Struthio camelus: one gene and its partners. The main gene of each other region encodes a partner of the protein of the gene in region 2 in a complex. Links are inferred from orthologs where the notes say so. Each region holds a gene or a part of one and is shown on either strand. Other genes may lie near its edges. The genes, in order: POLR3F, POLR3D, POLR3K and CRCP.

Region 1 (7,720 bases), on a different chromosome or scaffold from region 2:
GCAATGCAGGAAGACCACAGAACCACCGTTTGCAGACTGTACTTCAACTGGATTTCACTTGAGCATACGCCTTTGTTTGCAAAGATCACATTGCCAGATCAGGAACTCTGCTAGCAAGTGAGAGCTCTAGCTCCATAGTAACCTCTGTTCAGTAGAAAGCATTATACCTAAAACAGTTTTCAGGATCAGCTCAGGGCAATTAAGTATACCCTTCTGGAATGAGCAATTACATTCTGTAACAGCCATCATCCCAGTGAAGACTTCTCAGAGCGTCTTCTCAGCAGTGCGGCACGTGAAGTACAGAATTGTGCGCCAAACATTTATCCAACAAATATGAGGCTTACCTTGCATTTTGAGACTCTTTGATCCTATATAGGAGACCGGCATTGCTCCTGAGCAGGTCCAGTTGTCCCTAGGAGAGACAGGCACACATTATTTTCCTTCAAATATCTTGTTTCAGAATATGGCAAGAATCTTCTAAACCATTTCTAAAGTATAAAGCCTTATTTAATGTCAACTGCGTGAAGAAAGGGAAAACTAACATTTCCAACCACTAGAAACAATACACTCCGGGGTGTTTTTTCCTGCAACTATCCATTTATCCTCAGCTATTAGAAATAATAAATACAGTTCCAGCCTCTTCCCACCTCTATGCGCTTGCTAGCTTTCGCCACTGCACAAAGGACATCAAGCTCTCGTATGCCTTTTTCTTGCTTTCCACCGAAACGCTCATTTCTATGGCAATCCAGAAATCAAGTTAGAGCTCTAATGAACAATAGATTTGAAAAATTCTGATTTCCAGTAACAAAGTTCTTTCTTTAGTTAAAAAAAAAAAAAAAACCACCAATGGGAAACTGCCAGTCAGGACTGCCAATAACTCTCAGAGACAAATTACTGGCATCTCTCACACACAAGGTGTATCCTATCCTGGACTTCTGACTGAGCCAAGTAATTTCTTACTTCCTGTTTTGAAGAAAGAGGCAAGCAATTAGACAAGCCCAAGAACATAAATGCATATAATAGCATTAGCTTAATATTCACTCCTTCATTGCTAGCTAATCCATTCCTCATAGGTAACAGCCTTATTTCTTATAGATTTGCATTATGTGGTTGATTGGAGCTCACACCTCAACATGATCCCACTCGATGCTTTTCCATAGGTAAAGCGCTTATGTCTTATCTCATGTGAAGTCCCTGATGCTTATGAAGGCTTAGCACTCACTGCTGTTCTTCCCATGCTTAAGGTACTTACTGGATCTCTCCCCACACTCCCAAGGTGTCTATTTTAAATAAGTTCTAGAGACTTAACTATCATTGAAACCTCCCTGTGAAACATGGCCAACCCATTAAAAAGTGGTTGAATACAAGCTCTTATCTACTGTGCTTATAAACCTCGTATCTATAAGCAGAAAGATGAAAGAGAGAGAGATTAGTTCCAGCACCATGCACTTTTTCTTCCAGTTAAAGAAGTTTTGCTTATGAAAAGAAACAAAACAGAACAAAAAAACCCAACCCCACACCAAACAAACAAACCCAAAAAGAAACTTGCTCAGTTCGGATACTTTCTACCACCCCTCTTTCCCAGGGTACAAGCGCCCCTCCTTTCGCTGACACACGCCACCGCAATAGCATCAGATACTGCTTTTCTTTCGCTACAGTGCTTTCCATTGCACCACCCAGTCTCCATGTGCGTATGAAACAGCTATCAAAGGAACTGAACGGAATCCTGATCTTTAAGACCTTGAACACTTAGCTGATATTCAAGTTTATGCCACGTAGAACCAAGACTCAACAGCTTCTATCTATTCCTGAACATGTGGCAGAAGTAGTTGGCTGTGATCCTCACTCTTATCTTAAGCTGGGTCCTGATAAAATAAAGGGAAATGCATAGTGAGATGTAGGAAACTTCTAGGAGTTACAAAAACTCCTTGAGGTGTTTCACCTGCTTATTTGTCATCAGAGTAATCCACAATCCTGCAATTTTGTGAGGGGCTTGGTGAAGGGCTTCACATATAACAGCACAGGCCAATATCCATTCTTTCCTTTCTAGCTAATTCTTTCCCCACCATTAACAGGGCTTTGTCATTATCACCCATGTCTGCTTGTCTTATCACCTGCTGAGCCACTGCTGCTACACCTGCACTCAGGACTCTCATATTACACTACTGTATCACATTCTGCTTTGCATACAAACTGATACACAGGGGAAAGACCACAGAACTCTAGACACATCTACTCTTGAGAAAAATATTAAAAACAAATGCGGAACTTCTCAGTGGTAGCCTCTTAAACCTAGAAATCCATGTGAATATGCACATCCATGTTAATCTTGTATTACAGAGTGGAAACTATTAAGTTTTGAGGCATGTTTTAATTGGTTATGGCAACCTTTGAGCACATCACTAAATCCAAAGAAAACTTGCTAGCCCTGCCCGACGGGTTTCTACCATGCAGCCTATGTGTATGCAGAGCGCACTGGAAGCCAAGATGGCCCTACCATTGAGAGCAGCCTGTTGATTGCCATGGCTCGCTGCTGGGCTTCCATGTGAGGCATGTCATTTTGGATCACCTGGTCTGTGATGCCGTGGGGGAACTGATGGCACAGTTCAATGATCCTGGGGGAGGAGAAAGGCAAATTTTCAACCAGGCCCCGCTGCAGCGGCAACCAAAGGCGCAAAGTTACTGCAACCACGACGGAAGAGAAGGGAAAAGAACAGAGTTTTCCCGAGGACTGGGAAAGGCAACGGGGGGGGGAGGGGGGGGGAGCTGAGGCAACCTGACGCCATCCCTCGTTGTGCCCCTGCGCCAGCACGACACGCGCGGTGTCCCCAGGCAAGGACCAGCCCCCTGGGCCTCGGGCGCCGCCGCCGCCCCACCCACCCGCGACGCGACGCTCCCCGCCGGCGGGCCGGGCCCAGGGCGCACCTATTCTCTATGTCCACCGGGTCGGGGACCTCCGGCTTCACCTTCACCTCCGCCATGGCGGCACCGCCGGGTCGCGGCGCGCGGCGATGACGCCGGAGCGGCGCGCCGCAGTGAGGCGCCGGTCGCCAGGCAACGGGACGCGGGCCAATCGGCGGCGGCGGGGGTAGGGGAGAGGGCGAGGGGCGCGGCCGGGCTCGCGGCGTCTGTGGTAACGGGCGCGAGGAGGGACGAGGGGGTCGAGCGGGTGCGCGGGGCGGTATAGCGGGGATCGAGGGGGAGGGCAGGGCGGTATAGAGGGGATCGAGGGGGAGGGCGGTGTAGCGGGGATCGAGGGGGTGCGCGGGGCGGTATAGCGGGGATCGAGGGGGAGGGCGGTATAGCGGGGATCGAGGGGGAGGGCGGTATAGCGGGGATCGAGCGGGTGCGCGGGGCGGTATAGCGGGGATCGAGGGGGAGGGCGGTATAGCGGGGATCGAGGGGGGAGGGCGGTATAGCGGGGATCGAGCGGGTGCGCGGGGCGGTATAGCGGGGATCGAGGGGGAGGGCGGTATAGCGGGGATCGAGGGGGGAGGGCGGTATAGCGGGGATCGAGCGGGTGCGCGGGGCGGTATAGCGGGGATCGAGCGGGGAGAGCGGTATAGTGGGGATCGAGGGGGAGGGCGGTATAGTGGGGATCGAGGGGGAGGGCAGGGCGGTACAGAGGGGATCGAGGGGGAGGGCAGGGTAGTATAGCGGGGATCGAGTGGGGAGGGCAGGGCAGTATAGAGGGGATCGAGGGGGAGGGCAGGGCGGTATAGAGGGGATCGAGGGGGAGGGCGGTATAGCGGGGATCGAGCGGGGAGGGCGGTATAGCGGGGATCGAGGGGGAGGGCGGTATAGCGGGGATCGAGGGGGAGGGCAGGGCGGTATAGCGGGGATCGAGGGGGAGGGCGGTATAGCGGGGATCGAGGGGGAGGGCAGGGCGGTACAGAGGGGATCGAGGGGGAGGGCAGGGTAGTATAGAGGGGACCGAGTGGGGAGGGCAGGGCGGTATAGAGGGGATCTGCTGGGAGGGCGGTATAGCGGGGATCGAGTGGGGAGGGCAGGGCGGTATAGAGGGGATCTGCTGGGAGGGCGGTATAGAGGGGATCAAGTAGGGAGGGCAGGGCGGTATAGCAGGGATCGAGTGGGAGGGCAGGGCGGTACAGAGGGGATCGAGGGGGTGCGCGGGGCGGTATAGAGGGGATCGAGTGGGGAGGGCAGGGCGGTATAGCAGGGATCGAGCGGGTACATGGGGCGGTACAGAGGGGATCGAGCGGGGAGGGCAGGGCAGTATAGAGGAGATCGGCTGGGAGGGCAGGGCAGTATAGAGGGGATCGAGTGGGGAGGGCAGGGCGGTATAGAGGGGATCTGCTGGGAGGGCGGTATAGAGGGGATCGAGTAGGGAGGGAAGGGCGGTATAGAGGGGATCGAGTAGGGAGGGAAGGGCGGTATAGCGGGGTTCGAGTGGGAGGGCAGGGCGGTACAGAGGGGATCGAGTGGGGAGGGCAGGGCGGTATAGAGGGGATCGAGTGGGGAGGGCAGGGCGGTATAGCAGGGATCGAGCGGGTACGCGGGGCGGTACAGAGGGGATCGAGCGGGAGGGCAGGGCGGTATAGTGGGGATCTGCTGGGAGTGCAGTGACTATAGGCTATACAGGGGGAATGAAGGGGAGGTGGGGAGGCTGTATAGCAGGGATGGAGGGGGAGGGCAGGGCTGTGGGATGCAATGGAGCTGGGTGGGCAGGGGCTGCCGAGCACGGACCGAGTGGGGTGGGCAGGGCTGCGTAGTGGGGATCCAGTGGGGTGGGCAGGGCTGCGTAGTGAAAGGAGGGAACGCGGGGCCCGGCACACGGCGGGGTGCAGCAAGGGGCTGTGCTGTGCTGGAGCGGGGTCCGGAGCCCCGTCACGGTGCGATGCCCATGGGAACTCACTCTTTATCCCACCCATCGTGGGCTGCCACAGGCTTGAAACAGGGCGCTTTGCTTCTGGTCTAGGTGTGGCAAGAGCAGTCAGGTACTCGGAGAAAATTAGTGTCTGCCCCCTCGTGTCAGGTAAAGAGCGGATCCATGCATCATCCTTTCACCTGTGCCACAGCATGCGGCCCAACGGCTTGGCTGAGAACTGCCCACACTCATTACACCAGCCGTTACAGGCAGTGCAGCCGAGGTGATGGGCAGCTGCAGATAGCACTTTGGCTTATCTCAGTGTAGCCCCTGTGAGCCCATAGATCCGTGAACTCCTTCTGTACTCAGTCATTACTATCTACGTTGATGAGTTAGTGTTAGAGACGTTGCGGGAGGACTGAACGGCCAGTTACAAAACGAAATGCTTCCAGTGTAGACATGTTTTCTGGCAGTGAATATCAATTCCCATGACCTGCAGTACATCCTTTTTGTATTCTAAAACGCTGTCGTATCCAAACGTAACTTTTCATTCTTGAATTCAGTGACATAAAGGCTATGATAAATCATGTATGGCACCTGCTTGATAGGTATATGCTTAAAGTATACCACAGGTGAGGCAAGCTTGAGGAATAGCTGTCTTGTTTTAGTCCTTTTCGGGACATCTTGCATCTCACTGACATACATTTGGATGGCCACAATGAAACAAGGGACTGGTTCCTCCTGTAGAGAAAATGACACCATATCTCAGTGATGAGGGTGAAGATGCTTCACAGTTATTCTCTCCTGGCATGGTATAAGATATATGATGCTAAAGCTGTTTCACCTGAGTAAGTGGCCCTCAAATTCAAGCAGAGAAGGCCAAACTGAAATAAAAGCAACAGTGCTCATCTCAAGCCCTATTCATAGCCCTGTAATAGGACAATAGGTCGAAAGTTTGATGGGTCTATAGCATCTTATTCTTTTTCAGTGTGAAAACCTTAGAAATATTGATGAGAACTAGTATTTCAAGGAATTCAGTGTTCTTTCTTTCAAGGAAACAAACCAGGATGAGGAATCTCTTTAAAATGCAACATTTCTCACTGCATTCTTGTGTTATGAAAAATAATTGTCTGCTTTTTTGTTTTTCGTTCTTTTTTAAAGATCCTTGCTGAGAAAAATGACAGCGGGTTCTGTCTTAGTTCCTCAGGTCATACCTCTTCGAATCCCTCTTCCAGGGAAGGCTAAACATGAAATAGACACAAATACTCTTGTAGAAATAAAGTCAGGTATAAATAACACTTTTGACTCTGTGTAAAACTTTTCCTTATGTGATCATTTGAAACTCTTAGCCTCTATATTTTTGTTTACATTTAATTATGATTTTTGTGAGTTTCCACTTCCTTAAGTAACTCACAAAATTAACCTAGATGTTTTGAAACTGCAAATATATACACTTAACTTTTAGCATTCAAGCAATATTATTGTCATAATATATGAGTTCATACCTGTTCGCAGTTTTAATTGCTTCCGAGATCAAGCTCTTAAGTTGTTGTATTTTGCTGTGACTGCAAAACCAGGACTTGAAAATATGATGTGCCTGGCTCACTCAGAAAGTGTTCCTTACGGTTTTTGAAATTCCATCTTTCATCATGGGAGAAATTATTTTTTCTGTCTTTAGAACAGACAAGTTGTTGCATTGTTTTCATACAAAACCAGTGTATGACTACTTTATGAAAAGAAATATTGCTTGTAATGACATTTTGTTTGTTTAGTCACCAGCATTTCATGGGAGAAATAGTTTTGGTCCTGAACTTTCAATCATTTACTCCTTGATTTTGTTTATGTGAGAAAAATCAAACATAGGAGTGAGTATTTCCAGGTGTAGAGCTTATTTTGCCCAGCTCTAATATAATTTGGATAATAACTTTCTCCGTGTCTTTCAGATACACCTGCAGTCACTATTTATTACACTTTAGACGGAAGTAAGCCAGAACTCATTAGGAAACCCAGCTATGGAGAGCATAATACTTTTGAGTATAAGCAACCTATCATGTTACCAGTTGGGAAAATAATGGTCAAGGCATTGGCAGTTACAAAGTAGGTATCTTGTTTTATTTTAGTAGTACTGGGGCAAGGACTGGACATCCCAGTCATGGCGTGGAGCTGTGTTTTTCTAAGCATTCTGTACCTGGGGAATGAGGGGCAGCTCTTGCCCCAGCCGGTTTTCAGTCTAAGTGATCTTCCTGGATTCCTTTCACTGTGTTCACTTTCTCATAGCACTTTTTAATCATTAAGTGTTTGTGGAGCTGGATTATCTCTACAATGTTTTCTCCTGGGCCTTGGCTGAAGGCCAATGATCCATGAAGGCTGTGGGTGAGGGGCTGGTAAAATACACTGTACTTAGAGTTCTTCCATGTGAGTATGATCATCAGAAATGCTAGAGGAGCTGGTATGATGCTTTCTGAGGCCAGGAAACATCCAGTGATTCAACAGATTTATAGAAGTGGTCTTCTGAGAAACGTGCTCAGCTTCTCCTAAAGGAGCGCAGAATACTAGGCCTCACAGCGTAAGTACAATGTAGCACACACAAAAGCAAAGTAAAAATATAACATGTAGAAAGAGAACTTGATCATTGACTTTCTTCCAGCTAACTTCACACTTAGACACAGGCCATGGGGACACATGCATTCTCTGACTGTACCCTGTTGTATTTTTATGTTCTATTTACAAGGGAGCATAAAATTCCGCTCCAGCTGGGGATCTGGGCTTACTGCTCCCGCACTATTAGCACCTGCAGGTAGCCTTTGCTTATGTCTGCATTGCAATGAAACAACATTATAGTCCTTGTGCGGAGACACGGAAAAAAGGCCTCTATGTATTTTCTGCTATCGC
Region 2 (7,652 bases):
CCTCGCTACCGGTGCCGGTGCTCCAGCAGGGCCTCGAAGTCCGGGGAACACACCAGTTTGTGCCTCACGTGGCCCAGCACGATCATCTCGCCCGTGCGGCTGTCTCCGATGCTGACGGACACCAGCTCCTTCGCAGAGGGGACGAAAAAGGGTTAGGGGGATGAAAAGTGAGCTCCTTCCTCCCCTCTCCATCACAGAGGTGCTGTGACTAAGGCCGGGGAGCTCCCTGAAAGCTGTCCTTGAGGAGCAGCACAACCCCGACGGTCTCTGCAGGACCCACCGCCCCAGTCTGAGCATCGGGGACCCCCAAATCACCTTGCGGGCTACCTCGCGGCGTAGCCACACAAAGCAGGCCCCCGGGGTGACATGCAAGCCTGACCCCTTGCCAAGGCCGCCCCAGCTCATACCTGCAGGAAGGAGCAGGGTGTCCCCATGGTCACGTCCAGGGTCACCTTGCCCAGCACCAGCTGCACTTTTCCTGACTTCCGGATGAGCAGTTTCCCCACCTGCCCCTCCGGCAGGTCGGCCAGGGTGCAGGTGTTCTCCGCCTGCCTCGCCTCCTGCTGAGGGAGGTGCCGGCGTCACCGCGCTGCCACCCCGCCTGCCGCGGGACCCCTGCGCCCGCCGGCCCCCACCTGACTCTTCTCCTGCTTCACCACGACCACTTGCCCCTCCTCGTTCTGCAGCTCCGTCTTGATGGGCTTGGTGTCCTGCGTGGGCGGCTGCCCGGGCAGCGTGTCGGGCAGCTGCAGGAAGAGCAGCTCCTCCTCCTGCGACAGGCTCAGCCGCTGCAGCAGCTCCGCCACCGGGATGTCCCGGGGGTAGCCGGGGGGGCCCTTGGCTTGCGCCGCCTTGGTCGCCGGCAGGGCCTCTTTGGGGTCCTCGCCGTCACACGGCTCTTCTTTCACTGGCACCGGGGCAAGAAGGTGGGCACGGGGCAGCAGAGGCAGCCCTGCTGCGGGCAGGACAGCCCGGGCACTCTGCAGCTCCCCCAGCCCGTCCCAGCTCCCAGCTCGAGCAGCACCCCGGGGACACCCCAGCTGCTACCCGCCGGGAGCCCCACGCGCCCGCAAGCACCTTTCACCGCCTGCAAGTCCACCTCCATCTTCTCCTCCTTGGGGCCGGAGAGCCAGGGCTGGGCGTCCTCCTGCTCGGCGGCCTCCTCCTTGAAGAGCCAGCCTGAGTGGGCCAGCGGCAGCTGCACCGGCTTGTTCCGGATGTCGTTCTTCAGGCCGGGGTCGTCGAGGAACTGTGGGGCGAGGAGGTGCCACGTCGGTCAGCGCTGTCCCGGCGGCCCGGGGACCTCCCACCGCGGCGCCCCGGCACCACTCACGTCGTCCTTCTGCAGCATGCGCAGGATCTGCTTCGTTTCCTCGTCCGTCTCCCTCTTCTCCTTCTTGATGTTGATGATGTGGGAAGGGCCAAAGTCCGACATGTCCACGGTCTTGTCCCAGGAGCCAGCTGGGGAGAGGCAGCCCCGGGTGAGGACGTCGCCCCGAGCAGGGGAGAGCTCCGACCCGGTGCGGGACGGCCGTGGGGACCCACCCCCCATCCCCGGCTCTACCTTTCTTCTTCATCATTTCAGCAGGGCCCTGCTCAAAGATGGAGTGGGACTGGATGACCTCCGGTCTGCCCCGGCCTCGGCCGTGCCCGTCGCGCTGCCTGTCCCGCTCCCGCTCCTTCTTCTCCTTCTTGACGGAGACATCCTCGCGGGGCCTGCGGAGAGGTGAGGACGGAGCCCAGCAGCCCCGAGCAGCCATGCGGCCAGCCCCAGCCCTCCCCAACCCCAAACGTGCGCGCCAAACCTGGCCACCACCAAGCCCCCTCCCGATGGGCCTCCAGAGACCCCCCTGACACGGCACACGCTGCCGGGGCCCGGCCACAGGCTGCCGCTCCGGCCCCGTCACAGCCTCCCGGCAGCGGGTTTCTCTCTGGAGGTGCCTTTTGCACGCCGGGACCCCGCAGCGCAGGTCCCCAGCGGCCCATGGTCAAAGCCAGCTGCCTTAACCCAACACCGCCGCACAGGGATCGCTCGCGAGGCCACTCACTCTTCCTTGATCTTCCTGCTAATTATGTTGGGGGTGAAGGTTTTCTGCAGGCAAGAACAGAGGGACAAGTCACTGCACGAGGAGGCAGCAAAGATAAGCAACAGAAACCAAGCAGGCAGCGCTGCAGGACGCGGTCCGGGGCTGGGCGAGCGCAGCGGCAGGCGCGCGGGGGGCTGGCGGGGCTCTCGCCGGGTCCCTGCGCAGGGGGACAGTGGCTGGCCCCCAGCCCCAAACCGCCGCGGGGTCTGGCAGCGACGCCGCCCCGGGGGGGCTGGGCGTGCGCCCGGCGGCGTGCCCGGGAGCGGGAGGCGGGTGCAGAACCAGTCCGGCTGCATTGCCGCCCGCGACAGCGCAGGCGTTGGCATACCTGCCCCGGTGCGTCCCGCGGAGCCGCGCCAGGGACGCCCTCGCCGCGGCTCAGCCCGGTCTCCGCGGGCGGACCGGGGGCCCCCCGCCCCGAAAAGGGGGTCTGCGGCGCCAGGCTGCCTCCTCGCGCCCCGCGGGCCTGGCACACGCGCCACGCGGCTGCAGCACGCGCCCCGGGGCCCTTCAAGCCCCCGCCGTGCAACGGGGCAGGACGCTGCAGGCCCCCCGGGCAGGGACGGGGGTCTGCGCACCCCGGACCGGGGTCACCTCCCAGGGGCTGGGTTTGGAGCAGGCCCTGCGCCCCCCTCCCCAAGGGCTCATTCCCCACTGGGACACTCGCCTTCTTCACACCTCCCAGGGTGAGGTCTCGGGAGCGGATGGAGGGCAGGCGCCCCGGGCTGAGGGGGGCCGGCGGGCGCCTCCCGAGCAGCCCCCGCGCCCCGGGCAGCCCCGGGCGCAGGCTGCCGGGCGCCCCACCGCCCTCGCCGCCCGAGCTGCCCTCCGCCATCCCAGCGGTCACCTGCGAGGGGGAAGGGTTGGGGCAGCCGGCCCGCAGCCTCGGCCCCCCACCTCCGGGGGCTCAGGCACCTGGGTTCCCCCCCTACGCAGCGCTCCAGGGCTCTCTGCACCCATGCACCCTCTCCAGGGTGCTCAGCACCCCATCATCTCCCCTCCTGGGGTCCATTCACATCCCTCCAACAGGGGCGCTCACCCCCCCTCACATCCCCCAGCCCAGGGTGCTCACCCCCCCGTGCACCCCTTACCGCAGGGTGCTCACCCCCCCCCCGTGCATCCCCCAGCCATGCCCATCCACCCCCCCCACCCCACGGTGCTTCCACACATGCACCCCCAGCCCTGCCCCCTCGCACCCCGCTACCTCACGGTGCTCACCCCCTACCCCGTCTGCTCACCCCCCCATGCACCTCTTACCGCAGGGTGCTCACCCCCCCATGCACCCCTCACCCCAGGGTGCTCAACCCCTGCCAAGAACCCCTTTCCCCAGGGTGCTCACGCCCCTCTGCACCCCCCACGCCCGGGGGCTCACTCCTCCCACGCCCACGGGTACCCCCCCGCCGTGCCCTCCCCGCCGCGCCGCCCCGGCCCCTTACCCACCCCGGGCACGGCCGGCGCGCGGCCCCCACTGCGCATGCGTGCCGCGCGGCCCGGGGTTCCCGGAAGGAGGCCGCTGCCGCCATGTTTGCTGCGGGCCCGCCGAAGCAGTGTCTGGGCGGGGCCGCCATCTTTGAGTAGGGCAGTGCCTGCCCCCCCCCCCCCACGCGGAAGACGGCGGCGCCATCTTTGTGCCGGGCAGCGCCCGGCCCGTGGGATGGGGAGCACAGGGGCAGTGCGGGGGCAGCCCCTCTCCCAGTGCTCCCAATGCCCCCCCCCAACCACAGCAGCAGAGCCCCCGGCGTCCTGCCATCCCCGCACCAGCTGTGAGCCCGTGCCCAGAGCAGGGACCTGACCCGTTTCCCAGTTGTGTGTTGGGGGGGGTGTCTGAGTGTGCATGCACACATGTGTGTATGTGCATGCATGCACACACGCGTGTGTGCACGCACATGCATGTGTGTGCATGCGCACACGTGTGTGCACATGCACACACATGCACGTGCACGTGCATGCACACACATGTATGTGCACGTGCATGCACACGCGTGCACACACATGAGCGGTGGGGTCGGGTGGGAGGCAGCAGGCTCTGCCGCCCACCTCCCTGCAGGCCCAGGGGCCAGGCCTGCCTCCCCCAGGGTGCTGGGCACCCAGCGCGTCCCTTCTCCCCGCCCCGCGCGCACCCGCAGCCGCCCCCGCGGCCTCGCCTCCCGCTCCCACGGCTGTCCCCGCTCCGCTGGCAGGCAGGCGACGTGTTTGCTCATCACCTGATGCTTTGCAGCCTGACACCCGATTGGCAGAGCAGGGTTTTTCCCCCCTCTCCTCCATGCTGCTTTGATTTTTTTTTTTTTCCTCCTCTTTAGGGTGTTTGCTATTTCGGAGCTGGCTGGGAGGATCTGAGCAGCAGCAGTTGCAGCAGCAGCCGGAGGCAGGAGGACGAGCATCCGTCGGGAACTGCACGAGCCGCCGCGGTCTGTCGCAGCCTGAACCGCCGCTGCGGCCAAGTTCAGTGCCGGCGGCGCAGCCTGCCGTGCCGTGCCGTGCCGTGCCGTGCCGTGCCAGCTCCCTTCGCCGCCCCGCAGCCCTCCTGCGCAGCAGGTAAGGCCGCTCGCAGGTCAGGCGGCGCCGGGAGCCGGGCGAACGCAGCGCCCTGCAGCATGCACCGGGCTTCCCCTCCTGCACCTGCCTCTCGCTCCGTCTCGGCCCTGGGGCGAGCGGCTCCGGCGCAGCGCTCCGTCCGCGGACACGGGCGCTCGGTGATGCGAGGGAGCGCGGCGCACGGGAAACGCGACCTGGCTCCCAAACCGGTGCAGGCAAAGCGAGGGACGAGGGGGCGACGAGCCCTGGCAAGCTGGGCAGGGCGGCTGCGCTCGGCCGTCCCCGAGGGAATGACCTTCCCCTGTCCGCGGGGGGAAGAGCTGGGGGCCGGCGTGGGGGAGCGCACGGGGTCTGCGGCGACCGGGCTCTGCAAGGACGTGGGAGCGGGCGCGCGCACAGCCCGGTGCGCGAGCCGGGAGGCGCCCGTCGCGTCTTGCGTGTGCCCGCGCCAGCCGCGCTGCTCGGTGCCGGGAGCACCCGTGGGCTGGCGTGGGCGCCCGCCGGAGCGCCTGCCCCCGCGCGTCGGCGTGGGCGCCCCAAGCGCGGTGCGCGTGCAGGCGGACGCGGGGCGGCGGGGCCGGAGGGAGGGAGCGGGGGCTGCGGGCATGCACCCGGAGCGCGTGGGCGGCCGCGCGCACGCGTGTGCATGCGTGAGCACCCCCACCACCCTGCACCGTGGGCAGCGGGAGGGGGCCCGAGGCGGGGGGCGGCGGGCGCGTTGGCAGCCTCACGCGGAGCAGCCCCGAGGTCCCACGCTCCCTGGGGAGCCCCCGGGTTGCCCTGGCACGGATGGGGGGCCAGCACCCCTCTCTGCGGGGCTCACGCAAGCCCTGGGCCGCACGGCCGGGGGGGGGCAGAGCCGGGGGGCTGCCCTGCTGCATGCGTCCCCTGCTCCGTCCTCCCGGGCGCTGCCGAGGTGCCCCGAGGGCCGGCCCGAGCCTCCTGCGTGCTGGCTGCTGGAGGGCACCTCTCTGCCCGTGCACGCGCCCGTGCCCGGTGCACCCGTGCGCGCCTTCGCAGGGCTGCTTCTCCCGCCCCAGGCGTAGCCGGGTGCCAAACCCCGCTGCAAGAGGGGCAGCGCGGCTGTGACGCGTCCCCCGGGGGGGTTTCGGTCCCTGCCCGTGCGCCCGGGGCCGAGCGGTGCAGGGCGCTGCCCGGGGTGCGCGGCGCCTCCCCCCGCGCCGCCCGCCCCTGCGCGCGCGGGGGAGCTGCAGGCAAGTCATGACTAAGTTAGCGCGAGCCTGCGACGCGCTCCTCAGGCGTCTCGCCTGCGTCGGAGCTAAATATGGCTCGGAGCAGCCTGCGGAGCAGCGCCGGGCACCCGCTGCGGCCGCCCCGGAGATCGGAGCGAATCGGGGCGTGCAAAAACGCCGAGACCCCCCAGCCGGTGCATCGCCGGGGCCTGGGGACCGCGCGTCCCCCAGCGCGCCCGGCCCGCGGCAGAAGCGCTTACGCACTCGGCGCAGGTCGGGGCCTGTGCCGGCCCCGCCGGCTCGGCGGCTTCCCGGGGAGGTTCGGGGCGTGGGGACCGGCCCGCTGCCCCGGCCCGGAGCGGAGGCGCCGCCTCGGGCTCCCGGCGTCGTGTCCTGCCCCGGCTCCCTCGGCCCTCCCGGGGCGACGGGACCCGAGGGATGCGGGAGCGCCGAGGTTTTCCCGCGCCGGAGCGGGTAAACCCTGCCGCGCTGCTCGGCCAGACCTCGGCAGCGCGGGAAAGACGCGGGCCGCGCCGGCGGCAGCTCTCAATAAAAGCACGTGCTCGGCGAAACGCAAAGGCGCCGTCGCAGCGGGCGCGGGGAGAGAGGACGCGGACACGGAGCGAGCGGGCGGGAGGCAGGCGGGGAGGGGAGCCGGCCCGAGCGAACGGGCAGAGCGCGGCGCCCGTCCAGCCGCTGCCAGCCGTTCGCACGCGATCCTGCCCGCGCCCGGCCCTCCTCTTGTTTTTTCTTTCCCCACCCGGTGTTGAGCAAAGCCGGGGCGGCGAGAACCGCCGGCCGGGGCTCTCGCGGCGTGCCGGGCAGCGCCGGCTCCGGCCGCAGCCGCTTTGCAGCACGCCGCGCCAGAGGGCTCGTTCCCGGCCGGCTCGGGGCTCTGCCGCTCGTTCCTGGCTCCCGGCCCCTTCCCTCCCTAGCGCCATCTGCTCGGCAGCGGGGCCCGAGCGAGGGCTGGCGCTGGCCGCGCCGCCCGCGAGGTGCCGGCTGCGCCGCGGGGGCGCCCGCCCGCCCGCCCGCCCGGCAGCTGCTCCCCGCGCCCGCAGGAGCCCCCCCCGCGCCTCCGGCCATGGACCTGCTCTCCACCCCCAAAAACATCGAGATCAACAACATCACCTGCGACTCCTTCCGCATCTCCTGGGCCATGGACAAGGGCGACCTGGAGAGGGTCACCCACTACTTCATCGACCTCAACAAGAAGGAGAACAAGAACTCCAACAAGTTCAAGCACCGGGTGAGCCGGGGGCCCCGCACGCCGGGGACCGAGCGGTCCCCGCCCCGATGCACAGCACGGGCAGGTTTGGGGATAGCGGCAGGAGGCCGGGGTACGTCCCGCCGGTGCCGGGCCAGAGCGGGGCGCGCAGCCCGCGAGCGCGGTGCAGCCCTCCGGGGTCCCCCGCGGCGGGGGCGGCCCGGCCCCTCCGAGCCGGCACGGGGGAGACGGTGCGAACCGCTCGCGCTTCTCTCCCTCCGCAAGAGAGTCACCAATTCGGGACTCTTTTAGCAGCACGGTTGCCACGGTGATGCTATTTAATGTTTAACATTATTTTTTTTTTCCTCCCCAATAATCATCGTTTCTTTTTCTCTCCCTGCCTGTATCTCCCGACTTCGGCATTCGCTGTTGCCACAGAAACGGCTCTGCACTGCGGAGCTGCTGGGTGGCCTCTTGACACGGCCATTTGCTCCGTCCAGCGGCGGTCCCCAGGACCCCAGGGAGCGGGGTGGGGGGCTCGGGGCAGCCCGTGGCCCCAGGCTGGGCAGCGGCTCTGGGGCGGAGGCGCCTGGGTGGGCGCCTGGGCATCGCTCCCGGGGAGCGCTGCAC
Region 3 (5,798 bases), on a different chromosome or scaffold from region 2:
TTCACCTTTGCTATGGCCTCTGTTCTATCACCCACCAGACAGACCCAGGCTGCTGTTTGATGACTATTACTTGTAAGAAAGATCCCTGCTTTTAACCTTTACCTAGACTTCTCCGTTAAGTATTTTAAGCAATGCTTTAAATATGTGTTGCATGGTAAGCACAACCCAGGCAGAGCATTCATTTCAGTGAGTGCGTTTATAGCAGAACCACGGTGATTTGGAGCAAGGAGGGCCTCATGGGCCCGTCCTGTCCCAACCCCCCTGCCCACCCCACCACCCACCCACAGAGAACGTCACGTCGGGGCCTCTGAAGGTCCTTTTCCGAGACGCGCGGCACTGGTGGCCCAGGGCCGAACGACAGCTTTTCGACCACCACCACACGACGACCACGCTGTTCCCATCCACGGGCAGCTTTATTGCAGGAGAGCGCGGCCGCCCCGCGCAGGCCTCGGCGCGGCCGGCCTGGTGTTCCCGCCGCGGGGCCGCGGGCGCCGGCCTGGGCCCGGGGCCCGGGGGGGGGCCCGGGGCCGGGGCCGGGGCCGGGGGGGGCCCGGCTCAGTCCCGCCAGCGGTGGCCGCACTGCGCGTTGCAGCACTTGTAGAAGGTGGTCATGGGCTCGTCGGCCGAGCGCGTCTGGATCTGCATGAAGTAGGCGCGGGGGTGCTCGCACTTGGGGCACGGCTCTGCGGGGCCAGGCGGGCGCCAGGTGAGTCCGAGCGGGCCCCTCGCCGCCGCCGCCGCCCTCCCAGCCCCGCGGCCCGGCCCTACCGGCGGTGGAGTCCACGTTCTCCCAGGCCGCCGCGCCGCCCAGCACGTCGTCCACCTCCTTCAGCTGCGGGTACTTCCTGCTCGTCACCTGCGGGCGCGGCCGGTCAGCGGGGCCCCGGCCTCCCGCCCCCCCGCCCCCCCCCGCCGCCCGGCCCGCCCCCCCGCGGCACCTTGCGCGTTACGTTGCGCACGTAGGGGCAGGTGGTGCAGGCGAAGCGGTGGCACCGCGGCCCCTCCTCGGCCACCAGGACGTTGCCGCAGGCCGGGCAGAAGAGCAGCATCGCCGCTTCCGTGGCGCCGCCCGCCCCTTCCGGCGCGGCGATGGCGGCGGCGGAGCCCGAGGAGGAGCTGGCGCACGCCGAGGTGCTGGAGCTCTTCCAGGCGGCGCTGGCGCGGCTGGTGCAGGACCCGCTGCTCTGCGACCTGCCGCCTCAGGTGGGGCCCGCGGCGGCCGGGGCGGGGCCCGGGCGGGGGGGGCGGCGCGGCCCACGGGGCGCGTCGCTCCCGTGTCGCGGCGGTGCCGCCCGCAGGTGACGCCGGAGGAGATCGGCTCGCAGGTGGCGCTCGAGTACGGGCAGGCCATGACCGTGCGCGTCTGCAAGGCGGACGGCGAAACCATGCGTGCGTACCGGGGGGGGGGCCGGGCCGGGGGGCCGGGGGGGGTTGGGGGGGGCCGGGCCGGGGGCGAGGCCGAGGGAGGTTGGGGGGCGGGGTGGGGGTTGGGGGGGTTGGGGGGGCCGGGGGAGGTTGGGGGGGCCGGGCCGGGGGGCCGGGGGAGGTTGGGGGGGGCTGGGCCGGGGCCGGGGCGGGGGGAGGTTGGGGGCCGGGGTGGGGGGGGTTGGGGGGGCCGGGGCGGGGCGGGGGGAGGTTGGGGGCCGGGGTGGGGGGGGTTGGGGGGGTTGGGGGGGCCGGGGGAGGTTGGGGGGGCCGGGGGAGCGGGGTGGGGGGGGCCGGGCCGGGGCCGGGGCGGGGGGAGCGGACAGGCCCCGCTGAGCCGCCCCCGGTCCCCCCCGGCCCCCGCAGCCGTGGTGGTGGTGCAGAACGCCTCGGTGCTGGAGCTGAAGAAGGCGCTGCGGCGGCACGTGCAGCTGCGGCAGGCGCGGCAGGGCGGCGCCCAGCACCTCAGCTGGTGAGCGGGGCGCGGGCCGGAGGACCCCCCCCCCCCAAAACCCCACCTCGGTGGCCTTTCCAAGGCGGGCAGTTCCTCCTGCCGCCCGCCCTGAGCGTTTTCCCTCCCCAGGAAGTACATATGGAGGACATACCACTTAACCTACGCTGGAGAAAAGCTGGCAGACGACAGGAAGAAGCTGAGAGAGTGAGCGGGCGTCTGCGGTTTGCTGGGGAGGGATGGGGACGAGCTGGAGTCAAGCTGTCCGGGTAGCCCGCAAAGCAGCTGCACAGGCAGGGATCAGTCTGGGCTGCTCTGCTCTGGCTCACTTAGGTTCTGCACCACCCCCCCCCCAAAATAAAAAAAAAAAATCACTGCGAGGCAGGGCTGGCATTTCAGGCGATGCAACCGCTCCGCCGCTGACCGACTGGCCGAGAGGCCGCCTGGGCTCGTTCCCCAGCCACAGCTTGTCCTGCGCTGAGAGCATCCCGTTCGCACCACATCTGGCCCCCCCCGTATCACCCTTTGGTGTCCATGCCAAAACTAAGGCAGAATAGGTCATGTTTGCTCAGTTCTCACCTTAGGTACCCTGCAGAGACAACACGAAAAAAGTATGGCTGAGAGGTAAGGCAAGTAGCAGGCGGAGAAGGCAAAGAAAGGCTGGTGTCACGCGCCTGATGCACATTAGTTCAGAGGACCACATCCATTCGTGTCTGGGGAACTGGTGTGTGTGTGTTAATGGAAGCGCACGGAGAGCAGCTACCAAAGGGAGGATGGGGACAGGTCACATCACATCACGTGGGGGAGGGCATCCAAGGTGGTCTGAAGGAGGCAATCAATCAGGTGGAGTGTTTGGAGTCGTGGAATCACAGCATGTGTTGATGTGGAGTGATCTAGTCCAACACCCCTTTTGGGGGTGGTGGTGAGGAGCAGGAGCTGTCTCAAGTAATATAAACAAATTTAGCAAGCAGGAAAAAGCCCTAGAAAGACAGCCGTAGGTAAGGAAAGCTGTCCCTGAAAGATCGATCTGTGGGTGATAGCTGTTACGCTTGGGCTGTGTTGCAGTTTAAAAGGTAGATGATCACATCTTGGAGTCCTGGCAGGATGTTCTACTCACGCAGGTGAGAATTCGACTTTGTCCTGCATTAAAGCACAGCACCTGAAAGTATGAGTCCATCTCCCCAGGGGAAAGAGGAGGCTAATAGGATGTCCGTCAAAGGTGGTGGTTCCTGGGGAATTAGCATGTAACAGCATCACTCTCTGTTCAGGTATGGCATTAGAAACCGCGATGAGGTCAGCTTCATAAAGAAACTTCGAAAGTAACTTGTCAGGTAAGTCCTGAAAAATCCATTAAGAGCTACCAGAGCATCCTCCTTTTCCCAGGGCTAGTGCTAATGCTTGTAGCAGCTGATATTGCTGCTCTCCACTGCTTAGCAGAGCATTCCTAAATGCCCATATCTGCATTAGGCACACAGCCTGGCTCTAGTCCATTTCCACATTTTGGTTTTGTAGCCTGTGCCATGGATGCTAACGCAGTGTCTTTATAGCATTGCTGCTGCTCCTGAAATGGTGTATCTTAGTGCTGACAATGGCTTATCTCTAACCTTGTCTTGCATTTGGATTCTGAATCTGCTCCCACAACATCCTGGGACTCATTAAATGCAGTGCTCCTTTGCCCTTACGACTGCTTCTAGGATGCTGCTTTCTTTTAGGCTTCATCATTTCTGGAGCTCACTGTCAGGAATGCGGCAGGCTGCTAACTAATCCCTAGGAGAAAGAAGGGCTCTCTGTGCCTACAGGTGATTGCCATCACCCAGCTCATTTGATCCTTCTTTGTGTCTCAGACTATCTCCAGACAGAGCAGAGCAACTTTCTCCCGCTCTGCTCCTAGCTCCTTCCTGTACCATGCAGAGCACCTGCAGTTAACAGAAACGTCCATTGGGTGTACATAAGTAAATGCAACAGCAAACATAGCATGTTCTCCACTGTTCCACAGAGGATGTATTTTGAGCCCTTTTCCTGCAAGCTAGAGAAAAGAGAGACGTCAGCTCATGTCCTGTGTTTACGTTCTCAGTTTCTCCATTTTCTAGTTTACAGAGACTTGAATTCAGCTGATTCATTGTCCTGCGAAGCCGGGCATGCTGCTAGAAAACTTTCGTTCATGGTATTTTTGTGCAACTGATGCATTTAAAAATGCTTCCAACACAGGAAACATTATACATGTATATTTATCTCCTTGTAACCCATGTGGACCTCATGATTCCAGTATGAGGCTGCCATTTTTTAAAAAAAAAGTTATGTACACATAAATGCATGGTGTGGCCAAGATTCTCAAGCTTAGTAAGTTTAAACTTGTGTCAGCTTCCCTATTCCCCCCATCTAAAAACACATCTAAAACTCTGAAAAGCAGTGGTATCATCAGCTTTTCCAAATGCCTGTTTGTTCATTTTGTTTTGTAACTCTTAACTGGCTGGGTTAGAAAATGTTATTTTGCCACCACAGTGGCTTTTTTTTTCCCCCCTCTTTCAATGCTGCCATCCTCACGGTATCCACCATAAGAAAACGTGTGCCCTGACAGAGGAGCTCTATCTATCTGCCTCGAGGTGCCTACGACCACTGGTGGGTCACCTGTGGCAGTAGCTGATCCCCATGGACAGCCTAGGCCAGGTATTGCATGCTGGACTCTTGTATTACCACAGTAACTATTGTCCCTGTCACACCTTTTCTTTGTTTAACAGATAAAAGCAGATAATCCAGCTGTACCAAGACCATTCTGTGGATTCAGCACCTTCCTAGAGGAAAAGGTTGTAGCATTTCAAATGGAAACAGACTCAGAGTCGAATGGAAACTCTCAGATGCCACAGCTTCTGCAGTTGCTGTTTGAAACATCTGCCTCGGAGCTGTATGCTGTGTCCCTTTTCAGGGATTAAAGAGACGATGTGGTTTTCTGAAGCCTTTATGGCCCTTATTTCATTTCCACCTGCAAACCCATGTCTGGCTATGGTTGGAGTGCTAGAAAAGGACTTACCTACCCTACAGGGGCAGGAAACAGCATAGAGGAGAAAGTAACAAATGTAGCCACAGACTACGCAGAACAATTAACAGTAGCTAAAACGCTACCTTTCCATTTAATCACCACCTTAGCAGTAGTAAACAACTCTAGTTAAAAATGTAGTATTGAAACTAGTGTAATAAAAATAATGGCAGCAGAAAAGGTTCAATACAATTGAACAAGGCACAAACATTCTGTTTTCAGAGTCTTCTGAGATAAGGCAAAACATGCCTGCCAAGTGCTAAGGAGACAGTTTAAATTAACCACGGGCAGGGTTAGAAGTGTCATTTGGATTAGAGGCTCTGTCCATACGGAACCAACACAGCAAATGCAAAGACAGTCCATCTCCAGTGCCTGCTCGAGAAACAAGTCTTTGCCTTTCAGTGGAGCTGTGCATCCAGGTCGTATTTCTCACAGAATTTGTCTGTGAATGGTATACACGTAAGGAACTCACACCACTCACACTTGATGGGGTAGAAATAGAACAGAATCACAAGTCCTGAGAAGAGTGCAATGAAGATGAGCTGGAAAATTATAATTTGGCATCGCTTCCTATACAAGTCAAACTTCCCAAAGCTAATGTAGGGCAGGAAGGCAAAGGAGAGGAAGAAGCCACTGATAAATCCTGAAATGTGAGCAAAATTATCAATCCAAGGCAGGAGGCCAAAGGCAAAAAGAAAAAGCACCACTGCCAGCAGCTTGAAGAAGGCCCTCCATGGGCGTGCCAGGATTTGCCAACTCTGGAAGAGCTCCACAAAGAGACAGGCCAGAATCCCAAACTGGGATCCTGCAGGGCCAACCTGCAGAAGAAGAGCATTATGAGTAACATCAGCCACATGCCACCTGCCTGGCTTCTGCAGCCAGCTCCAG
Region 4 (7,551 bases), on a different chromosome or scaffold from region 2:
CCACTTTTCTTGTCTCATTAGTCATTTAGGAGTGTCTTTGTCCTTATTCTGGGCTTTAACAGAAGGTTGCTGATGTGTTGCAAAAATAGTAAGCACTGAATTTATAACCAGAATGGACCATATACAGAGAGCATCTTTGCTTCATGATGCTTGTGATATAGGCTCAAGGTTCGGACACAACCTGTGTAAGGATTGCGTGTGTTTCTGTCTGAAGATATTGAACAGGACTTACCCAAACTAAAAAAGGGGGAAAGGGAGGGATCCCAGGTGCTCCAGGCAGAGATTGGTAACACAGTGACTTGATATGAAATATTCGTGATTATGTATCCTAGAGTTTGGCCTTGCTGCCATTGAAATCAATTGTTCCACTGGAAGCTGTGAGGTGGGGTTGGGACACGAATCTGCAGCCGTGTGCACTTGAGTATTTTTCAGGGGAGACAACTGAGTTCGATTTCTGCCGTGTTCTTTTTCATAATCTATGCCTTGACTCCAAATCTGGTTTTGCAAGAAAGAAGCCTTTTGTGGCTGTTACCAGATGATCTTATTTTTATTAATCTATGCCTGATATTATACATAGTAATGGATGTATGCTTTCACATGGCATCTGTCAGCAGTTTCACTGTGTACTTAACACATTTTATAGGGATTAGTTTGCTTGTAGTATGTTGTTTTAACTCCTGTCCTAGTTTGTATCTAGGAGATGTATTAATTCTCTCTTCTCCCATTTATAGATGAAATAGGATCTCTTAAAGAGGCTTGGCATCAGGGAGCTGAACTGTTTTTTGGGAAAACAGTGAAACAGCACTGCAAAATAGGTCTTCTAATGCACACTGAAATGTATTCTCATCATTACTATCTTCTCTGTTTGTTCTGTTTTTGTTGTCTTTCCACTTCCACTTCCTGTCTTATTCTTTCAGGCTTTTATTTGCTTAGTGAAATAGAAAAATTGCCCCCAAAAACCCAACGCATAGTTAAATACCAAGGAAGTTCTGATGAAAAAGTACCGTATGTTCTACTTATTTTCCATTCTGGACACAGTATCACGGCCTGCAGTGTATCCTCCTTCTAGGACTTTAGTTGGCTAAGTTGGAGTTTAGCTGGCTGAGTGGAAGTCAGCTCCTTTACTGATAAGAGCTGTCGTGAAGAAAGCTCTAAGCGAGGGCCTGCCCCTCCTTGCCCTTGGGAACTGCTCTGAAGCTGAGGTTTTACCGCTGGCCTCCGCCTGTGCTACACGGCAGCCGCACAGCAGCTAAGTCTGCGCCTGCTCTCCTACCTCCGTGAGTCTCACCTGGACCCGGACCCCCTGGCTGGGCTTCCTGGGCTGGCCGTGCACCTGCCTTGTCACGACAGTCTTGCTAGGTGAGCCGTGGACTGTGTCTGACCCTCACCGCTGTCTCTGGCCCTGATCCTGACCTGGTGGTGATGTTCTGCATCTCATCTCCTTGGTGGTGAGGTCACTGCTCGCTCCGGCCTTATTAGTGCACTCTACTCCTGCCTCACCTTCCCTTGCGGAGCAGCCAGCCCTCGCTGGTCATACATTAATATTCCCATCTATACTCTTTTCCAGGCTGATGTACTATGAGATAATGAGTAAATTGCCCCTTTTGCAGCATGGAGAGGTTTAATTAAATATATTTTAATGTCCTCAGAGATTCAAACTTTATTTGTATTTGCTTTTGTAATCAAGGTCACATCTTTACTATTTCTTTTAGAGTGCCTTTTTGTTGAAAGAGACTAATACGTGTGGAGTTTAGCTCTGAAGGAGAGCCTTAGGGATTTCTAGAAATACACTATTCATAGTAGGACTAATTGTAAAAACTGAGTCCAGTAAAGAAAGAAGAGGACATAAACTGCTGCTCTACACTATCTTTAAAAAACATTCTTTTTTAACTGTCATTTTGGTTTAGAAAAAGAAAAAAGCTCTATAGACTGAACGTGCTAGTCAAATGCACTGTCAGCTAGGCTGCTGTGAAGCAGTGCTGACATTTTTTGTTAAAAATCAACTTTGTTTAATGAATTTTGAATGTAAAAGAAAAAAAGACACTATAGGGTGATCAGCAAAATGCTGAATACAGTAAACATCTTTCATGACAAAGAATACAAATACCATGCAGATCTGCTTTCAATAGCAATTACTAGGCCCCCTGCTTTCAATAGTTAATACCGAGGCCCCTCTCTCACCAAGCCTTAGCGGTTACAATCACAAGCCAATGCTTAAAATGTTGACATGCTAAGCACATTTAGAAAACCTATGTCTGCATTCCCTATGGATGGTGTAGCATAACTGTCTAACATCTAAACTGCAACCATTAAAAACAAAGTTAACTCGGCTAATCATCCCACCTCTCCGGAAAAGTTGTAGGTATGGATAATGAGCTCTCTCTTAGAGATTCCTCTTCTCCCTTGCATGATGTCAGTGGATCTCTGGCCAGTCTATTTTTGTGAAATTGCCAACAGGGTGTATGTCTCCACTGGAAAATATTTAGGAAGGATATGTCTCTATTGGAAAAAAAATTCAAAAGCCATTCTGAGAGGCATGTGTATTATGCTTATTCTTCCCAGCAGCTGGGATGGGACATGGTCGTCAGGGCTTCTAAAAAAGTGTATCAGCAAAGGTCTGGAATGAGACTTTTGGAGAAACACTGAAAACGTAGATGATAAATTGCGTTTAGGGGAGAGAGATAAGGAGGAGGTGCCAAGGAGAATAAAATTAATATGCTTAAGATTTTCAACTCGTGTCTAAAGAGAATGATGAGGGGAAGACAAGGATTAGTGGATTTCTAGAACAAAACCCTGAAAAAGAGTCTGGAAGTATATTCTTGAAAGAAAGCTGACATTCTTTCTTTTCTTTTCTTCGCTTTGACCTAGCTGGGAGCAAGTGTACAAGCAGTTTCACAGACAAGGTTTGAAGCATGGCAGAGAAGTTACAGAGCATTTGCTGTGCCAGTTTTGGCCCAAGTACAAGGTCAGTTAATCCTGACATGAAAAAGGACAGCATCCATCACATCCTATCCACTAATTCAGACCAATGGCTTTCAGTCTGCAGTGTGAAGACCTTTCTCCTTGGTCTTTTTCCTAAGGATTGATGAAAGGTGATTCTGGAACAGGAATTAATTTCCGTCTGTGCTACAATCTGTGTACGTGAACATGGCCCACATATCCACTGACACTTTTTCAGGGGTCTGCAACTGAAAAGGGCTGAAAAACCTTTGCAGCAGGGTTTTAAACTTTGCCCACCTCTTAGACACCTGATCGCGGTGGTACACCCAAGTACCCGAGTGCGTCTCCCGCTGTCCTTGCACTGAAGACTGCCCTTGAACCGCTGCAGTTTGGTCCCATCCTTCAGAGCTAGGTGAGGATTTCTAACACCGCAGAGAGAAGCAACGTCCCAGACTGAGGGTGGACCTTCTTCTGGCTTGATTCTGGAGGGAAAACTGGGTGAATGAATTTTCTGCTAGTATCACAGGACAAGCGAGGGAGCTTGTGGGCACAAAATATCCAACCGGTTTGGCTCCCTAGATTTCTCTTAACAAGCATGCATGTGTGATTCTGTAGGGAGTTACTGCTGTCGTGTTTGTATATAAACTTCTACCTGAGGGGCCAATAGCAAAATAAGTGATTTAATGTATTCCTGGCTCTCAATCTCTGATGCAGACGTAATTATCCCTGCTGCAGCCATTGGGATTTTCAGTTATTTGCACTCAATGAAATGTGTTCAGTTTTCTCAAGAGTGAAAAGAGCTCTTGCAAAATGTAGTAGCATATGTAAGAAAAGAGAAAGACTCAGGCTGATGGTGGAAAAAGACATATAATGAGCCTGAAGATGTATGCACAGGTGTTTTCAAAGACGACTGGAGGAAAGGGAGTATTATACAGCTTACAGTGTTCTGTTTGCACGCAGCTAGAAATTTGGTTTGGAAGGACCTCTAAAATACAATTTTTTTTCATTGTTATCATGTCTAAAGTGCCTAATTTTCAGAATCCAAATAGATTTTCAGAACATATTTTGCCCCACGTATCATTTTTGTAGTGAGCTTTCTGTCCACGGTAGTTACCGTTCTGGAAAAGTGCAATTTGTCTTTCCTTTAAAAACATAAAGGATCTGTTGCCTGTAATTCTGTATTATATGCTAATTTTCTATATGATCCAGAGGGACTAGCAGGCACATCTGTTTTAAACTTTCGTGAAAGCCCGAGAGGTCTTTTACTGCTCCGTGAAGATTTTGCGAAAGTGAGATAGGATCAGTGCAAAAACGCTCTCGCACGGGTAGAGGGGCGCGGCCGGAAAAACAGCTTCTACCGGGGGCATTGGTGGTTCAGTGGTAGAATTCTCGCCTGCCACGCGGGAGGCCCGGGTTCGATTCCCGGCCAATGCAACTGCGCTTTTTTGGTTTCTTGTTTTTTTTTTTCCTCCCCCCCTTCCCTCTCTCCCTCTTTGTCCATTTTTCCTCCTTCCTGAGTCCCGAAACCGCTTTCAGCTCAGCCCCGACCTCCCCAGCGCTCCCCTCGCCGTGGCTCAGCGGGCGGCGGCGCGCGCGGGGGGAAGCGGAAGGTGCCCGGGCGGGCGGCGGCCGCGGGCGGCCTCAGCGCGCAGCTGCGCGCGGGGACAAGATGGAGGTGTAAGGAGGCGGCGGGCGCGAGGGGCGGGAGCGGGCCGGGGCCGGGATCCTCCCCGCCCGCGGCGGGTTACGGCCGCTGGGACCCGCGGCTGTGCTGGGGGGGGGGTGGGGGGTGTATGTGTATGGGGCTGCCCGCGGTGTGCGTGTTTGGGGGGGGTGGTATATGTGGGGCTGCCTGAAGTGTGTGTGGGGGGGAGGGTTGTATGCGTATGGGCCCTCCTGTAGTGTGTGTATAGGGGGGATATGTATATGGGGCTGGGGGGGCAGACGTGCGTGGGCCCTGGCGCGGGGGGCTGGGGGGGCAGACGTGCGTGGGCCCTGGCGCAGGGGGCTGGGGGGGGGCAGACGTGCGTGGGCCCTGGCGCAGGGGGGCTGGGGGGGCAGACGTGCGTGGGCCCTGGCGCAGGGGGCTGGGGGGGGCAGACGTGCGTGGGCCCTGGCGCAGGGGGCTGGGGGGGCAGACGTGCGTGGGCCCTGGCGCAGGGGGCTGGGGGGGGCAGACGTGCGTGGGCCCTGGCGCGGGGGGCTGGGGGGGCAGACGTGCGTGGGCCCTGGCGCGGGGGGCTGGGGGGCAGACGTGCGTGGGCCCTGGCGCGGGGGGCTGGGGGGGGCAGACGTGCGTGGGCCCTGGCGCGGGGGGCGTGGGCCGGGGCAGACGTGCGTGGGCCCTGGCGCAGGGGGCTGGGGGGGCAGACGTGCGTGGGCCCTGGCGCAGGGGGGCTGGGGGGGGCAGACGTGCGTGGGCCCTGGCGCGGGGGGCGTGGGCCGGGGCAGACGTGCGTGGGCCCTGGCGCGGGGGGCTGGGGGGGCAGACGTGCGTGGGCCCTGGCGCAGGGGGGCTGGGGGGGCAGACGTGCGTGGGCCCTGGCGCGGGGGGCTGGGGGGGGGCAGACGTGCGTGGGCCCTGGCGCAGGGGGTGTGGGCCGGGGCAGACGTGCGTGGGCCCTGGCGCGGGGGGCTGGGGGGGCAGACGTGCGTGGGCCCTGGCGCAGGGGGTGTGGGCCGGGCAATATACCCGCTGCACCCAGTAAGAATTCCCGGAGCGCGCCCCGTTCGGGGAGCGCCATGGCCACTGTGGCGTCTGGTCCTGGCCAGGGGCCGTGCTAGGGGCCGTCGTACCCCTCAGTTGGGCCTTTGCCTCCGATGCCTCGCGTTCGTTTGGGCGTTCTGACGAGAAGCTGAGGTTTTCCGTTTGCTTTGCAAATATTGCTGAAACGTCCGTTTATTTGGGAAAAAGACATTGCAGCTTAGTTTTAATCCTGCTCTGGGTCCGCATCCCCCCTTCCTTCCCTTCCCCTCCTGCCTGGTGGGACGTGCCTGCATGCAGCCTTCTCCCTTTCCTTTCTTTTTTTAATCACCCGCCAGGCAAGCCTGGCAAAACAAGGCAAGGCGAATGGCCTGCAGAATCGCCTGCAGGCTGAGAACAGTTTCTGTGAAGGGCAAATAAACCCTTGATGGGAAGAGCAGAACGTGCTGGCGGGGAGAAGCAGCAAACACAGCGGGCGGGCGCAAATGCCCGCGGCAGGTCTAGCTTTTGGCCAGCCCGCCGTGGCTGGCAGGAAGAGCAGCCGGCCTGGCCCCGATGTCAGCACCGCTAACGTTACCTGCGCTATTGCAATTCATGCTATCCGTGGATGCTTTGTTATCATTAAATGTGCTACACTTCAAAAGTAGATAATAAGCAGTCATCAAAATATTAGTTTGTATCCCCATTGGCCTTAACGTGAGTAACAATCTGCAGGGAAATGCCCCGTTCTTGCCGTTGTGTCCCCCAAAATGCTGTGAAACGGGTGCACAGCCAGGCTCGAAGATGCGTGGGGAAAGATAGGATTTACCCTGCTGAAGAAGATTCTTTTGGCACCATTAATTCTTAAGTCTGCGGTGCCGCTTATGCACCTGCTTGATTTTTACTACCCCGAGTAGTAAAAACCCCAAGTTATTTTAATGGTGCTACTTCTTTTAGTACCAGGAGGAAGGTGCACCTGGGCCCCAAAGTCCTGACCGGTGAGTGGACCCTTGCGTCAAAATTGAGCAATCTAGTCCGTTTTGGACTTTGAATTGCCGTTGCAATCGCATCTTGTGCTTCCCTACCGCGTACCTCTTGCCTGGCAGCCCCTTCATAAAGGGACAGTCTGCAGCTAGGAAAACCTGCCTTACCTAAGGCCTTACCGTTTCAGAAGTATCTGTTACTAGAGGGGGGGGGAAAAAAACCTCCGCAAAATGCTTTAGTTTAAATGTAAAACATTTTTCAGCAGTAGATTTAAAACAGGAGGTGCCGGTGGTATTTTCGAAGATGTGATACCGTGCACTGAGCTACTTTTTGATATTGCGTGGAGAAGACAGTCTCAGTAATGTTTTGAACAAAAATTTGGAGCAGTAATAGCTGTGTAGTGTTTACAGATTTAGTGTTAACATCGCGTTTTCCTATCTTTTTTTTTGTTTAAACCTTAATCTCATAAAAGCCAAGCATACTGTTTAGCTGTCTATTTTAAAAATATACACTACTAGAATTCATTCTTTATAATTTTTTCTTAATTTGATTTTTTTAAAGTTTTTTTTAGCATTTATGAGAGTTAGGACAGAAGAAAGCAATTATATTTCTGCTTTGTAAATGCTACAAAAGTCTTTGAAACACTAGACTTGTTAGTTTATAATTCTGATATTTCAGCACAACAAAAATTCTTGAAGATTTGAGATTTAAGTGGGCTCATGTTTGTAATCCAATGTTACAGAAAAATAGGCATTTTTCTAAGAGACAAAATGTTACACGATTATAAAGGAAGCAATTGTCTTCCAGAGTTTTAAAATCAGTTTCCCAGAGACTCTGATTCTTGCACGGTAAATTGTTGACTCTGTATGATCATCTCACTTGTTTAATTGAATGATTCTATATATTTAATTCTTCCGCAGCAGTATTGTTTCCAACAGAGAATG

What was found.
Region 1: POLR3D (region 2) and POLR3F share a complex: the UniProt entries of both Homo sapiens proteins name them as parts of the RNA polymerase III complex. The link is inferred for Struthio camelus from reciprocal best matches to the Homo sapiens genes POLR3D and POLR3F.
Region 3: POLR3D (region 2) and POLR3K share a complex: the UniProt entries of both Homo sapiens proteins name them as parts of the RNA polymerase III complex. The link is inferred for Struthio camelus from reciprocal best matches to the Homo sapiens genes POLR3D and POLR3K.
Region 4: POLR3D (region 2) and CRCP share a complex: the UniProt entries of both Homo sapiens proteins name them as parts of the RNA polymerase III complex. The link is inferred for Struthio camelus from reciprocal best matches to the Homo sapiens genes POLR3D and CRCP.

What each region holds. Positions count from the first base shown.
Region 1 is NC_090944.1:146,895,353-146,903,072, forward strand, and holds the start of POLR3F (DNA-directed RNA polymerase III subunit RPC6), read right to left. Parts: upstream 3,029-7,720; 5' UTR 2,982-3,028; coding exon 2,926-2,981; intron 2,616-2,925; coding exon 2,498-2,615; intron 413-2,497; coding exon 345-412; intron 1-344. Other genes in the region: DZANK1 (double zinc ribbon and ankyrin repeat-containing protein 1), read left to right, coding at 6,006-6,114, 6,772-6,925. UniProt on the Homo sapiens protein: DNA-dependent RNA polymerase catalyzes the transcription of DNA into RNA using the four ribonucleoside triphosphates as substrates.
Region 2 is NC_090968.1:5,467,427-5,475,078, forward strand, and holds the start of POLR3D (DNA-directed RNA polymerase III subunit RPC4), read right to left. Parts: upstream 3,002-7,652; 5' UTR 2,923-3,001; coding exon 2,755-2,922; intron 2,093-2,754; coding exon 2,049-2,092; intron 1,717-2,048; coding exon 1,565-1,716; intron 1,462-1,564; coding exon 1,334-1,461; intron 1,250-1,333; coding exon 1,078-1,249; intron 908-1,077; coding exon 636-907; intron 564-635; coding exon 408-563; intron 129-407; coding exon 6-128; 3' UTR 1-5. Other genes in the region: PHYHIP (phytanoyl-CoA hydroxylase-interacting protein), read left to right, coding at 6,900-7,064. UniProt on the Homo sapiens protein: DNA-dependent RNA polymerase catalyzes the transcription of DNA into RNA using the four ribonucleoside triphosphates as substrates.
Region 3 is NC_090956.1:19,330,892-19,336,689, reverse strand, and holds POLR3K (DNA-directed RNA polymerase III subunit RPC10), read right to left. Parts: upstream 1,071-5,798; 5' UTR 1,050-1,070; coding exon 939-1,049; intron 857-938; coding exon 769-856; intron 684-768; coding exon 556-683; 3' UTR 504-555; downstream 1-503. Other genes in the region: SNRNP25 (U11/U12 small nuclear ribonucleoprotein 25 kDa protein), read left to right, coding at 1,090-1,203, 1,299-1,389, 1,792-1,897, 2,009-2,083, 3,145-3,199; RHBDF1 (inactive rhomboid protein 1), read right to left, coding at 5,309-5,728. UniProt on the Homo sapiens protein: Core component of RNA polymerase III (Pol III) which synthesizes small non-coding RNAs using the four ribonucleoside triphosphates as substrates. Can mediate Pol I proofreading of the nascent RNA transcript.
Region 4 is NC_090957.1:15,565,565-15,573,115, forward strand, and holds the start of CRCP (DNA-directed RNA polymerase III subunit RPC9), read left to right. Parts: upstream 1-4,540; 5' UTR 4,541-4,609; coding exon of another isoform or gene 4,610-4,617; intron 4,618-6,481; exon of another isoform or gene 6,482-6,621; intron 6,622-7,527; exon of another isoform or gene 7,528-7,551. UniProt on the Homo sapiens protein: DNA-dependent RNA polymerase catalyzes the transcription of DNA into RNA using the four ribonucleoside triphosphates as substrates.